2 linked regions of the Stegostoma tigrinum genome follow. The protein of the gene in region 2 interacts with the protein of the main gene of each other region in a biochemical or structural test. Links are inferred from orthologs where the notes say so. Each region holds a gene or a part of one and is shown on either strand. Other genes may lie near its edges.

The links.
Region 1: the proteins of bmp4 (region 2) and bmpr1aa form a complex in vitro, tested with the Homo sapiens proteins (3 studies listed by BioGRID and IntAct, with this or other methods). The link is inferred for Stegostoma tigrinum from reciprocal best matches to the Homo sapiens genes BMP4 and BMPR1A.

What each region holds. Positions count from the first base shown.
Region 1 is NC_081390.1:5,616,512-5,623,873, forward strand, and holds the start of bmpr1aa (bone morphogenetic protein receptor, type IAa), read left to right. Parts: upstream 1-3,995; 5' UTR 3,996-4,155; intron 4,156-7,362. UniProt on the Homo sapiens protein: On ligand binding, forms a receptor complex consisting of two type II and two type I transmembrane serine/threonine kinases.
Region 2 is NC_081363.1:47,120,542-47,128,910, reverse strand, and holds the start of bmp4 (bone morphogenetic protein 4), read left to right. Parts: upstream 1-5,093; 5' UTR 5,094-5,322; intron 5,323-8,369.

The DNA of each region.
Region 1 (7,362 bases), on a different chromosome or scaffold from region 2:
CCCACTTCACATATATGCAAGTCAACGAAACACCCAAGGGATCACTGATCTCCAGACTCATAGCAGAAGCAGTGATGCAAAGACCGGAAAGGACTGCCCTTCCACAAATCCAAAATGTGGATATGCTATGTAGACAACATCTCTGTCACCATTAAGAAAGGACCAAATTAAGAGAGAGACACAAACTTATAAACAACACCCTCACTGGAATAAGATTCACCAGAGAAGAGGAGAAGAACAAACAGCTCCCATTCCTGGGCGTCATGGTCGAGCATGAGACAAATGGGGAACTGCAAATGAAAGTACACCATAAAGCCACAAAGACCAGGTACTGAACTGCAGTAGTAACCATCCCAGCACACACAAACAAAGCTGCTTGCGAACACTATTTAAAAGGACAACAACACACTACAGCAACACAGAACTATCAAGAGGAAGAAGAATACCTCCTCCAAGTGTTCAAGGGTAACAGATATCCAATGAACTGGGTCAGATGATGCCTTCAAGAACAGCAGCAGAAAGATTCTCCATACCCCAACACACTCATCACACTACCCTACATCAGGAACACGTCAGAACTCACCACAAGACTCCTATGACCGCTGGGCATCAGATTGGCACACAAACCCACATCAACCCTACAACAACGGATCACCCGAACTGAAGACCCACTCCCCGCCATGGGCAAGACGAACGTCATCTACAAAATCCCTGCAGAGACTGCAAGACACACTACATCCGTCAAACAGGAAGGAAACTAACAACAAGAGTACATGAACACCAAGTGGCTACAAAAAGACACGACCAATACTCACTCATCTCAATCCACATGGACAAGGAGAACCATGACTTTGACTGGGACAACACCAAGATCCTGGGACAGGCTAGGCAGAGACAAGCACAAGAATTCCTGGAAGCATTGCACTCCACAAACGAACGCTATTAATAAACACATTGAGCTCAACACCACATACATTCCACTATGAAGGAAACCCAGAAGTGAGGCAATCCATCTCAACAGACCCAGAGTTTAAAAACAAGGCTGGAAAACACACCGATGCTTCATCGGAAGCTGCACTGAGGATGTTACCAAGCATGGTAACAAAACGTCTGGAAATAAATAAATAAAAAACAACAAACCAGCTCGGCGAGTCAACCAACCTCATTATTAATAAAAATACAAGTCAGGATCGTAATGGGATGCTCTCCGCTTATCTAGATTGCAGTTCCAATAGAGTTTCCATATGCAGAATGCTCAACACCTACTTGGAACAAAACAACTCACTGGAAGTGTACCGCATCCACCACCTTCAACATTTACTCCCAACAATGCACAATGGTAGCAGCCATGTACCATCTACAATATGCACTCCAGTAACTTTCCAAAGCTAACCCAATAACACTTTCCAAACCTATAAACACCTACCACCTAAAAGGACAAAACAGATGAACTCCACCCTCTGCACCAAGCTCCCTTCCAAGTCATTCACCATCCTGATTTGGAACTATACTGCTGCTTCTTGTCACTGATCTTCTTCCTAATAGTACTGTTGGTGTGCCTGCACCCCAAAGACTGTAGTGACTTAACAAGGACCATACCACCCCTTCTCCAGGGCAGTTATGGATGGGCAACAAATGCTGGCCTAGCCACCAATGCCCACATCTCCTGAATGAAATGTTTTAATTTGCCAGACCAGATGTTACTCAGCCAACTGTCCTGAAATTTTAAGACTTGAATAGACTCATGAGATTTCATGCCTGTGTTTTATTTGTCACTTCTAATCCTGGAGAATAACATAGAAAATCTGTTGTATAAAGAAATAGTCCTTCAGGATCTGGATCTCATGGGTTTATTAATGCTCCAACATGTTGTGTCACCATATAAATTCATCAGAAGCTTTGTCCAACCTGCCTTCTCCCAGCACCTTTTGGATAGCTTTCATGATTCACTTCATAATCATACAATATGGTGAAATCCATTCAGCTCATCATTTCTGCCAGCTCACCAAAAGGAATCAGTCCATTTCCCTATTCCTGGTAAACAAAAATGTATTTTTGACACATTTATCCAATTCCCTTTGGAAAGTTCTATTAAATCTGCTTGTGTTTTTTTTTCAGACAGTGAATGCTATTTAATACCAAGTGGTTGTAAATAAAGCTTTTTTTGCTTCTTCCATGGTTGTATTTTTAATCAGTACTTGATAAGGTCTTGTTCCATTAAGAAATTTTCACTGGAGGGGCAGAGTGAGTGCAATCAATTTAAAAAAAAATCAATGGTTTTCTTAAGTGAATGCATAGAATGTATTGACTTCCCAAATTATACGTTGTAACCTTCAATGGGACCACAAAACAAGATTTTTAAAATAAAAAAATTCTTTAAAAAGCAAAACTTCTTAAATCTTTAAGACACAGCCTTGTCAGCAGTAAGGTGTTCAAGGCTTTTAGATGAAATGCCACCTTTTCACCAACTTCTCCCATGTTCAACTCTGACATCCTCAATCCCAGTTCAAAAACTAAAGCTTGATTACCCTCATCCCAACTCAACAAAAGGGGCTTTCACCCAGCCCTGTCAACTCAAACCCCCAAAATCTTTAGTCCAGAATCGTACAAAATCTAAGATGGGGCACACACTAGGAAAAAGCAAGACAGCACCAAGATTAAAATTTGTGGAAGATTGATACAGTAGTTTATGGCAGATAAAGATCACTTAGAAGAGGAACCATTTGGCACATTAGTAGAACAGTTGGTTATGTACAGTGAGCTGCATCATACACTTAGATTAGGAATAATTAATAGTCCATTAAGAGGCAACATCAACTTGTGCTCTGGAGTTTGTGGCAGCCTAGTGATGCAACCAACAATTAAATGTGCAAAGCCCATTCTGTGGCCACTGAAGGATGGGGATTCTAGTTACTTGAGCCTGGGAAATCTCCTTCATGAGAAAGAATCTCAGAAAAGGTCTCTTGCCTGAACCCTTCACCTCAAACTACCCATGATCTCTCACCCTCCCCACCAATATACCCCAGCCCACGTTCTGAGCTGTCTACTCCAACACCAACCCCTGCATTCTCCAACCAGATTAATTTTCTCCACCCCACAACCCCAGCAGGTTCTCTTTCCCCCCCGCCAACCCCAAACAATTTTTACTCCACAGATTTCTCTTCCACTGCCTCATGATGGGTTCACTTTGTCAATCCCCACACCACACCTGAACAGATTCTATTCCATGCTCACCTAACAAGTTTTCTTTTGCCAATTCACAACCTCAAGATCTGTTCACCACAACTGCACAAGTTCTCTTTACTCTCCACACCCCCAAAACAGGTACTTTTTTTTATTTCCATTCTACTCCCACACTGACCCAACACTTCCATCCCTCCCCACCCTGGCCGTACCTTTTCCCAACCTCCTCCCCCAATCTACTCTCCCTTCCCACTACCATCACAAAGACCCTACACGTTGCCTTCCGAAACGGCCCAAGGCCCCACCCACATACCAGCGCTACCTCCCCAACACGACTTATTGGCCTTACTTTATCCCGTCTCCCAAATTCCCCGCCCCCAACTTCCTCCCCACTCCCAGACCATACCTTTCCACCCCAATGATCCTTCAATACTCTATCTTCCTTCCCGACCGTCCATTTCTCCCTCGCAGACACACACCCAACATCTCTTCTCACCATCATCCCAGCCGCCTCGTTCATCACGTGACCGCCGGCGAGAAAACGGTCGGCGGGCTGTGACGATGGGTGCGAACCGACCTCTCCGACTACTTTCCCTCCAAACCGTCCCAACGCGCTAACTCCATCTCAGCTCCTCTTGCCCGCCAATTAACAGTCTTTCGACGCCTATTTCCGGCATATTTGGTTGTGGGTTTGGGGCGGGGCGAGGTAGAGGGGAGAAGGTGGATGGTGTACGTGCGTGCGCTCGATGACACTCGTGAGGAACGTGCGCGAGGTGGGGTGGTTGGAAGCGCGCGCAGCGGGAGCCTGTGAACCGGCGCGTGCCTGTGAGGGGAGCGACAGCGAGAGACAGACGGAGATTAGTAGCGCGGGTGGATTGCTATTTGGATATTTGTACACATATTACCCGAAAGGATCATTGATCGTGGCGGGTGTAGGATTTAGACCGCTTCGGGGAGGAGGCGCTACTGGGGGTGAGTGCGTGTTTCTACTTTTAGGGTACGTTTTGGAAGGTGTTTTCTTTTTGTCTGGGGTGGGGGAAGGAGTAGTCGAGAATTGTTGAAGTGGTGCCTGGTTGGGGAGGAGAGGAATGGAGCTGGTGGGGGAGCGGTGGGAGGGAGCGAACCGCCCTGTCTCCGGCCTGATGGGAATGTGGGAAGAGAGCAAGGATTTGGGACAGCTTCCAACATTGGGAATTTTCTGTACTGAGAGTCCGATAGGTGTTCGGGGGAGGGGACCCTTGAAGAAATCCTAGTTTCCGGAGGTAGTGAGCAAAATGAAGCCAAGTCTTTACTTCCAAAGAGTTTTCCAGTTTTCGATGCAACTTTGTTTTTTTTAGTTTCTTTGGAATTAATTTGTGTTTGATTTGTTGCCTGATTTTTGTTTTAATGAAGCGATCCCAGTATGTGTGGTTCGCGACAGATTTTCTTTAGTTAAATCTGTAGTTTTCACTGCGCGCGATATGGTGTGTTGTATGCGAATCATTCTAATCTTGTTTCTGTTGTGTTTAAGTTTGGAGCTGAAGCAGCTGATTTAAATTCAAATTGGCAGTGCTGTATGTGAGGGAGATTAGGACGTGTGGTCGTAAATATGTTTTATTGAACTTGCAGATCGGATGTCTCACCCACTGCAAAATGTTCGGGTAATGTTGACATGGGGCAAATGCTACTTGTGTCTGTCTTGTCATGAAAAGTGCCATTGTATTGGCCAAAATAGTTGGCGCAGGTGAGAAGTTACTAGTTTTTCTTAGAGAGTAAGTTGTGTTAGACTTGACCAGGTTGTCTGTTGACAAAAGGAATATTGGAAGTTTGTTGTGGCTTTGACTAGGATCACCATGATGAATGATGCTTTCTGTGACTATGACTAAAATATGCAACCTTTCTCCAACATTGACAGTGTGATACATTAGAGTAATGTACAATGTGTGGTTAGAACATTTGGTACGGATGCATGGTATAATTCACCAGCATTCTGTTCTATAGTGCTTTAGAAAAGTAGATTGTACAGGAATTCATCTATGGGAGAGTACATACAAATATCTGACAAGAAAATAACACACAGAAGAGCATTTGCTTTGAGCAACTCTCTTACAACCCATTGGCGATCAGAAATTGTTCCAAGGGTCTCTGATTATGAATCTGGCCTTTTGGTTGGAGAGTGGCAGATTATTTGGGTGGGGTGGGGAATGTTAGATTTAAATCCATACTTGTAGCCATAATTATTTCAATTCATCTTTTCTTTTTCAAAACCTAGAGGGCAAAATCAAAATTTCTACTGACAAAAGTAGATATTGCATCATGGTGTGTTACTTGGAATATTATGCCATTGTGAAGGACCTATGTATAGCTTGTGTGACTTAAATAGAATTATCTTTTGAATGAACAATGACCATAAACACTGAAGCCTCTGACTTGTGTGGGATATTCTGTCACAGTGTTTTGGGATAAAGTCTGCAATAATGATGATAGTTTGTTTTGTTTATGATTGAAGAAAAGAATAGTATTTCATTGAGACATGTACCAAATTTACTCTTGGCAGATAGCCTCTTAGAAAATATACAGTTCAGTATTCAAGCTTTTCCAAAATAAATCTATCCTATCTGGCAAATGTCTGCCCTAACGTGAATGTCTTTGTTCACTTGGATTACTCCCATTTGTGTGAGCTTGCAATGTATAAATAAACAGGTTTAAAAAAAGGAGTATTTTAATACATGAAAACTTATGAAAATTTTTTTCTGATGAAGGGGCTAGGCCTGAAACATCAGCTTTTGTGCTCCTAAGATGCTGCTTGTGTTCATCCAGCTCCGCACCGCTCCCCCACCAGCTTACATGTTATCTCGGATTCTCCAGCATCTGCAGTTCCCATTATCTCTAAAACTTATGATGTTTTTTTTACCTCTTGTTTAAGATTTTATTCGTTGTTCATTGTCGTCATATCCCTTCTATATTCAAAGTCCTTCCAAGTGTCAGAAATGTTAATAATACTTCCTCAAATATCTCATTGGACAATGGTATTGTCCTAGTGCAGTCTTTAGTTTGAGTTCTGGAAAATCAAAATGCTGCAGTTGTTTAAAAAAAAATCAGCACACATAGAACAGTGCATGTCAGCATCAGAAAACAAAACAAGATGAGGAAAGATACACACCCCAAACATCATGTTTGTCTTTTGACATACAAATGTAGTTAATCTGCTGTATGTTTCCCAGTATCAAATTTATGTTTTACTTGATTTCTGATCTGGTCTGTCATGTGGTGAACAGTAACCAGAGTACAATACTAGTTGGCTCCTGGTGCCTGCTGATCTGCACCCTGCTAGAGAACAAGGGAAGAATGACAGTACAGTGACTGGAGTGGGACCCTGGACATATAGCAGCCCTTGTGATTGAAATGTATCCTTTAGTTTCTGTGGATTAACCCGTGCTTATTGTTATGTTAAGACAAAGTAAACTGAGGGTTAGAAAATACTCAAAATCCGAATTTGAGAAAGTGTGATGTTATTTGAAACTGGAAGTTGAAGTCATAGCATTCAAATAGTTTTGTAAACATCATGTATTGCTATCTTGTTTATTTTAAATAAACCGTGTTAATAAACTCTGTCAATTACATTGCTTTTCTTTCATACATTGTTTGGGCCATATTTGGATCAGATGTTTGTAAATGAAAGACTTGTACTTTTATAATCCTCATTATAAGAATAACTGTTGTTTAGTAATCTTGTACCATGTGTCGTTGCTCTTAAGTTTCAAATGATTTAAAGTGAATCACAAAACTCCATTTAAAAGCATAATTTGAATTATCATTAATTTTATTGTTTCCTGATTATTTAAGTTTAATCAAAAATGCTAATTGTAATTGTAGGGACTGGCTGAGAGAGAGTATATGTGAGGGAAGTCCAAAACGTCAGCTTTTCTGCTCCTAAGATGCTGCTTGGCCTGCTGTGCTCACCCAACTCCACGCTTTGTTGTCCATAAAAACTGGAGTCCTTTGGGGCAAACTGTGGTTTAAATTCATTTTTAAAGTAGTTGCTGCAGGCCATCAGCACCCGTGTTTTACATAAAAGGATGAAACTAAGGAAACATGTATTTTAGTTTTTTTTACATGGTATGTGGACATTAGTGGCAAGGTTAGGGTTTTTTGCTCATCCCTAATTGACCTTAAACTGAATTGTTTGCTGTGCTATTT
Region 2 (8,369 bases):
TACAACTGTGTGAATTGCTGATCTTGACTTAAGAGAGTAGTTAAGCATGGTGGTGTGGGATTAGGGTCACATAAATCAGTCTGGATAAGGCAGGCAGGAATCCATTCCAGAAGGATGTTAGCTTGGTTTTTTTTACAACTATTTGGAGTTTCATGGTCACTTTTGGTACCAGCTCTTTACTTCCAGACCCTTTAATATAAAACTTAAATTCTCAAACTCCCAAGGTAGAAGTTGAATTTAAAAATGTAAAGATCAAGATCTTTAGTTCATGGCAAACTCCACACCCACAGGTATCGAAAAGAGTCCTCAGCAGCTTGTTCTATTCTTTCGTAATTGTATGCACTACTATATCATCCTATAATTTGTGCTGCTCTAATGTAAATGATACAGTTATTCAGGTCTGTATTCACAGTTGTATTTGCTCATACCAGAAATAACCCTAGGGAATCTGAGTTTCACCCCCTAAAACTTTAATATTGTTTATATAGTGTGGAGTGTGCAATACTACCCACAATTCTGAATGTTTTATATAACTTTTCATTACCACATAGTATTTCAATTTTAAAATTTAATTTAAATATACCGCATGATCAAATCTATAATTCTCTTTGCCTTTTAAATTCCTTATTAATCTTGTTTATTTCTTTTAATAAACTGTAAGCTTATTGCCCAAATACTTCACTTCTTCCAGAACACTGAGCATACTGGATACAGTCACTGTTGATTTTAAAACAAAATGTATCACTTCACACATTGATGTTGAATTGCACTTACCATCATGTCTGCATGTAGCAATTTTCACATTTTGTATCTGAAGTCTAAATTAGGTTTTTGATTCCACATAACATGCATAAGCTTCTTATGGTATAAGCTGTGGTATCTCTACCCCCGGACTGGGAGGCCCCAGATCAGGTCCTCTCTGCTCCAGATGTGCGTAATAGCATCTCTGAACAGGTTGATTAGAAAAAGAGACTACGTTTAAAACAAAAAACATGCACAAAGTACTACTCGTGTCTAAAGGTTGTCTGAAAGTGTTTCACAGCCAATGAATTACTTTGATTGTGTTCACAGTTACATCAGCAAACACAGTAGTCAATTTGTACAAAATCAACAATACAAAAAGAGGAATTCGTCTATTATGGTGGGGTTGGTTAACGCATAAATTTTGGTCAGGACATCAGGCGAACCCTTTGGTAATAGTTTAAAATAGTGTATTGATCTGAAAAGGTAGACATCTGAAAGATGAAAAGCTCTGACAATGCTGCCCTCCCTCAGCATAATGCTGAAGTGCCTGCCTATTTAATTTGTTTAAATTCATGCATTGGGAATTGAGCCTGTGAGCTTCTCCTACAGTTAAGGCTGCTGCCATTTGGTTAAACTAGTCTAATAATCTGTTTTTAACAGTCTCTAATTTTGAATTACTTTTTCATTGAGTACTTTTACTGCGGCTAATAATTGCCCCTTCACTAATAGCAAGCTAAATGAACTTGTACAGAATATTAAAGTGTTTAACTGTAAAAGGTCAGATATTATCCTTTGAAATATATGATATAGGAAGACCAAAACCGAATTCCAAAGTGAGATTAATTGAAATTAAATGTGTTTACCTCGTGATGTATTTGTGCTAATATTAGCAATTTGGCTTAATATTAATTAATTGAAATTGAGAGCAAAGCAGACCGTTATTTAGCATACCACAAGTCTTGGACAAGAGGTTGACAGTAATGGAAATTTTAAGCCGCACATCATTTTCTTTATTTATCTCACTTGTCTATCCTAACACTTCCTAAACTCACTTTATTCCTCTGGCAATAATCTAAAGCTTCCTCCCTGTGTAGCTATTCACCACATCAGCTCCCCAGTGAGTCTACCTTTGTCTTTATCCTCCAACTCTGCTCATCAATTGAATGTCTAAACATGCTTCCACTTTACAACAGCCTGCAGAATATTTGCTCATTTGTGAACAAGACTCCCTGTTCATATCCTTATCCTGGAGGAGTAAATTAACATTCTGGGCTTGACTGAAATCTGGCACACTGCTGTTGATTTTTTCCTTTCATTCGAGAAAAACTCTCTTGGTTCACATTTCATAACATCCCATACTTAGAGGTGTTGTGAAATTTCACCTAGGACTATTGCACATTTCTCTGGCTCCTTCAAAATGTCTCAAAACCAAACGTTTTACCTCTCCTTTGCTATTTACTTCCTCTAGAAAAAAGCAATCTTCTCTCACCCCTGAGCTCATTCAAATTCTCATCTATTCTTAAAATCTACTATTAGTGATAACATTGACTTTTCTATTGACTTTCTCCACAGCTGTCTCACTTATAATCCTGACAACTTCATGTTGGACGGGTCTCTATAGCCACTTCTTGTAAAGTAAATTTTAGAAACTGCAAATTTGAAATGTTACTTAGCGTGCATTAGGAGATCATATTGATGGGATAGGGTGACTTTGTGCAGCATTTTCATCAATTTTTTATGTTAATATTTTGCTGAAAGTAAAGGCCATGTATTTAATAGCACTGGCGATTAGGCCAGCCTACACTCCCATTTGGATAATCCCTGTTTTTCAACATTTGTTGCCTTAGGAGTTTCTGCTAGCATTGAGCAATTGATGTGAACAAGTGGCAAATTTGCTCTGAAAATAAGGCTAGAATTTTAATTTCATTGTGGAGTAATTGTTGACATAAGGGGTAAAAAGTAGTATGTGTTGACTCAGCAATTTGCTGTACACTGCACTACCCTGCAGTTTTTATTTTGAATTATTGTTGAAAATCAATTTAGAGAAAAGCAGTCTTCAATGACATGGTTATATTTGTCAGGACACTAAACACAGCTTTCTCTATGTCTCTGTTTACAATGTGATGAATTGCTGGCATGGTAGGACAATGAATATGACATGTACAAAGGAAAAATATACATACAATATACAATCCGTCATTCTTTGTATGGAAAGGTCTGAATTTATTTAAGAGAAAAAAATAGAAGACCAGAAATGGCCAAGTTTAGTTGAGGTCGAAGGTCCCCAGGATGTTACTGAATAGTTGAGCAGGTTTAAGGAGCTATTTATCCAACTTGCGCTGAGACACCCAGATGGCATCATGATGAAGGAGCATCAGACATTATAACAGATGGAGGCTGCTAGGAGAAGGTTACCTCCCCACTTTCATAGCTGAGGAATGACTTTTACCAAAAGAATAAAAAGCATAAATAATTTACTGAAGCTATCCACTGACTTTCTCTATGCTACTTCTGCAAGATTCTTCTGTTCTTCTGAGTCTGGAACTCTGTGTCCCTTTTCCTGTCAATTCATTCTCATAGCTCTACACTCCTGCAATTCTCTTGCTAAATCCCTCCAATATCATTAAACATCTCCTCAATGTTAGAAGCCTACTCAAAATCTAGCTAGTTAATATGCACTTTGTTACCTTACCTGATGGTCTTCTCACTCAGCACTGACTGCCCTGCGTGACTATTTTAAATCCTCCATCTAAGTATAAATTGTCACTGTAAATACAAGTATTTGGTATATTTAACCGTTTCATGTATTCAGCTCAATTACTGAACTTGCTCAGCTTCCTGATGAAAGTCCTGATGAAAGATTCTGTGCATGTTGTCACTGTTCCCACATTCCAAGGCATAAGGCAAATCCAACTCTATAGTGACATCATTTATCATTGATTAGTTGATTTCAATTCCATCATTTCAGTATCTGAAGAATGATCATGCTGTGCACAATATTTTATCACAGCTATTGATAAATCCTTATGTTAATTCAACCCCTAACTCCATACCTATATAGCTATTTTGCAAAGATGTCAACATAGCAATAATTGTTTTAGCATTGCACTTACTTTCCTAATCTACGTCTAATCTTCAGTTTTACATGCAAGTTCTGTTGTCTCAAATTTGCCACCAGCAGCCTAATTCAAATTATCTTCCTGGTACATACACCTATCACCATTTTGAACAGGATCCCACTGATTCCATTGTTATCCAAACTAAACAAAGTCATTTCCAAGTGTCCAAATAAATTGAGAAAGTATTACTCACTTGGAAGTCTAGGTCCTGGTTTCCAAACAGCTGCTCTGTAATAAACCCTCTCAAGGCTGCAGTGTAAAGGCATCGTTATTTTCGTAAGAAAGTGTCAAAAATTGCATTTATTCTCAGCGTTTGAATAATGACGTAAAACAGTTTGCAGAACATTAGCCACAAATGCTGAAGGTTCTGCCTCGATAAATGTGAAGTTCGTTTACCAAGCATTAAGGTTAAAACATTGTGTCCCTCAAAATTTTACCTTCTCGTCATGGTTTCCTCTCCTAGCTTTCCACGCATTTCTCTTTTCCTTTGGTGGCAAGAACTGACAACACCGTCTCCCTCAAGAATGACTGCGTAAACGTGGCCTAGATTTTAAAGTGAGGATGTTGGTGGAAAATTGACACCTATTTGTCTCTGCTTTGTAGGTATTTTTAATCGCACCTTAAACTGAACTCGTGTAGATATTGTGCATATTGTGGAGACAATCCTTCCAATGCAGCCTTTCCAACGTCCTACTAATCAGGGCACTTCGAAACATTGACTTTCGTCTCGTCTAAAAGCTTTTAACCTTTCGTTAGTTATTCGCTGCTAGCTGGTACTGACCAAAACTAACTTTAAAACATCGTCGTCGTGCTCTGGTTCTATACCCCACCCAACACTACGAATTAACTTTGTAACTGCATTTTCTGCTATTCCTTTTTCTTTCAAACCTATTTTCCCTTGCTCACAGGAAATTTCTGTCGCTCCGGAAGAACTCGAATACAGATATGCGTATTCTGAATAAAATGCAATGCTTCCCAAGCCACCAGTTAACGTGCTGTGCACAACAAAGTTAAGAGAAACGCCACGGGGCTAGTTTAAAGAAAACCGTGAGAGAGGAAAATGCTACTTATTATGTATATACGGTGTTCACGCGCCGTATCGCCTTCGATATGCTGCTATTAGCCACTTCTGCAGGAAGGAAGTGGAATATCATAGAGATCGCATAAGTGAGGCTTTATGAACTCGGGTTAAAATACCACAATGACGTACGTACTTTCCAACAAATTGCAGAAACTGGGCGGCCACTTTATTAGTCGGATTAATTGATAGTTCCAGTTTGGTTTCTTAAAATGGGTCGAATATGAGGGGTTGTTCAAGCGCGTCCATCTCTGGCACCTCAATCCAATCCGTTTTAGATAAATTGAATTTATTGGTTCAAAAATTCTGTCAAGTTCTACCTACAGATGCAGAGGCATTAGATACAATTATTGTGGAGTATACGGACGCGATACTTGCATGGTGAGTCATTTTTAACTCGTGCTGCTATATGTGGTAAACCTGAGATTGCTGTATTGTGCAAATGGGAAAATTACTCAATAAAAATCGGCAATAGTTATTTCACCTACACATTGGCTTCTTATACGTGTAATCTCACGTGCTCCAGTTACCAAAACTCGAGGGCGCTAATGTCAGCCCGGAGTTTCAAAATTCACTTTATAATGAACATATCCACTGGATGTATTTATCGAAATTGGCGGTATTTTGAACATTGACTGACTTATTTTCCTGTGTATAATATTTAGCTGGTTTCATTCCTTGAAAGTTCATTGCCAGTATCGAGTTAGATTTAACTGCCAATGCTAATTTATGAATAATAGTTTTGGAGAAAGACAACTTGTGTTAAAATCGTGTGTAAAACACTCGCAACGTACGTGTTTTGATTCTCTTTGTATTGAAATCGTTGCTTCGATTTTGATTAAATCAGCCGGGAGAGTGATTGAAGATTAACGAGTACGTAAGACAAAACGGATGAGTGCGGTTCAGGCCAGTTGCATTTTTATGCTGAGGTGAGATGCCTGTTTTCTCACTGTAAACCTCGGCAAACCAATTTTCACACTCTATCTGGAAGTTCAAAAGAATTACCCGACATTTAGTGATCTGTGTGAAATGTTTGTGTAATTTGCAGTGCATCGTTAATGCATTTTAGAAACATTTTCATGACGCTTTTAGTGAAAATTGGTGATGGGGTCGTTTAGTACTTATTTGGGAGTTTGTGTTTTGCTGTGAAGTTGTAGGAATGCTGTTGTGTGCGATTTAATATCGTGCATGATTGTGGGGTCTCGACACGACGATACCGGAGTTCCTAGTTTTAATATCCCATTAAATAACTTACAACCGTTTCCTTATGGGAGGTTGACGGCAATATTTGTACACGAAAATTGCCAGTGATATTTCTGTGCAGTGAAACACCGACATAAAAATGGTGTCGCCAGTTTCATGGGTGTTATGGTTGATTAAAAAAATGCGACCATAGTGATATCAATTCTGTCGCATCGATTAGCCGTTTGTTATACAGACTGAAAATGCACACGATCCTTCACTGAATGTGGCCCTGTGTAATGCACAGTGCTTCTATAACAATGCTACTTTTCAGGTGAGTGTTTCTTAGCATTTTCCGTGTTTATTATAGCATTCCCGTGGGTTCATTCTGGCGGAATGTGAAAATCGCATGCCCGGCTGAAGCACCGCAAGGCCATGTGTTAAGTTCCCTTTCATATTCGGCGCGATGCCGAATTCGGCCACTGCAGCCTGAGGCTACGAGCCCTGCAGTGATTGACAGGTGCTCAGCCTCCTCGCCCAGCGGTTTGAATGGGGTCCATGCACTGGCTCGCAGCTTGTGGGCGCTGAAAGGGCGGGGCTTGCCTGGTGATTGACAATGGAGGAGGAGCCCGGGCGACGGCTGGTGGTGGGGGCGTGGCCTAGTACTGTGATTGACAATGCGAGTGTGGGCCGGTAGGGTAACTGACAGTGTAAGAGTATGCCCAGGGGTGTTGACTGGGAACGAGGGGGCCTGTGGAGTCATTAACACTAAAGAAATGGGCCTGTAGGGTGATTGATGGTGAAAGTGTAGGTCTACAAAGGGGATAGACAGTAAAAGTAGGCTAATGGGTGATTGACAGTGGAGCAGCAGGCCTATAGATTAATTGATTGATGGTGAGGCGGTGGGCATCTCTGCTCTCTGATGAAGGGTCTCGGCCCAAAACGTCAGCGTTTGTGCTCCTGAGATGCTGCTTGGCCTGCTGTGTTCATCCAGCTTCACACTTTATCAGTGGGCATGTAGGGTTGTTGACGGTGAAAAAGTGTGACTATGAAGTCATGAAGTGCTTTGAGAGGCTGGTCATGACCCACATCAACTCCAATCTCCTGACCTGCCTTGATTCTCTGTAGTTTGGCTACTGACATAACAGGCCCACAGAGGATGACATATCCCTAGCCCTGCACTCATCTTTGTTGTCTAAATGTGCCAGGGATATCTATGGCAAACTCTTTCTTGTGGACTATAGCTCCACCTTCAACACCATTATCCCCTCCAGATTTATTTCAAAACTTAGTGATCTTGATCTCGGTTCTGCCCTCTGTAACTGGATCCTCAGTTTTCTGAACCACAGGCCGCAATCAATGAGGATAGCTAACTGAACCTCCTCCTCAATAACACTCAACACTGGAGCCCCCGAAAGGATGCGTCCTCAGCCCCCGACTGTACAGCCTGTACATCTATGACTGTGTTGCCAAATCCTGAAAGAATGCCATCTACAAGTTTGCTGACATCACCATACTAGGATGGATAGCTAACAACGATTATTCAAAATACAGAAGGGAGATAAAAGGCTTGGTGATGTGCTGCAATGAAAACAATCTGTCTCTCAATGTCAGCAAAACTAAAGGTCCAATCATTAATGTCAGAAAGAAAGGAGGAGAATACGTCTCCATCTACATCAAGGGAACTGAGGTCCAGAGAGAGTGAAGAGCATTAAATTCCTCAGTGATGATAACGGACAACCTGTCCTGGACTTTCCACATAAGTGTGACAGTCAAAGAGGCAGAATAACGACTCCTTCCTCAGGTGGCTCGAAATTTGGCATGGCCACAACATCCCTCACCAACGTCTACAGGTGCACCATTGAAAGCATAATGTCTAGGTACATAACAGCCTGTTATGGCAACTGCTCTGCCCAGGACTGTAAGAAACCACAGAAGGTCGTGTGCAAAGCCCAGAACATCACAGAAGCCAATATTCCATCCATGGACTGTGGAAAGGCAGCCATCATCATCATCATCAAAGACCCATCACACCCTGGTCATGACCTCCTACAGCCTCTTCCATCAGGCAGAAGATACAGAAGCCTGAACACAGGCATGAGCAGGTTCAGGAACAGCTTCTTTCCAGCTGTTATCAGGCTGTTGAATAGACTCTAGCCTGAAATAATGTAACCTGTATGCCTCAAAGTCTTTTTGATTTGTTCATCCTTTGTTTGCTGTGATCTACCTGTGTTGCTTATAAACAA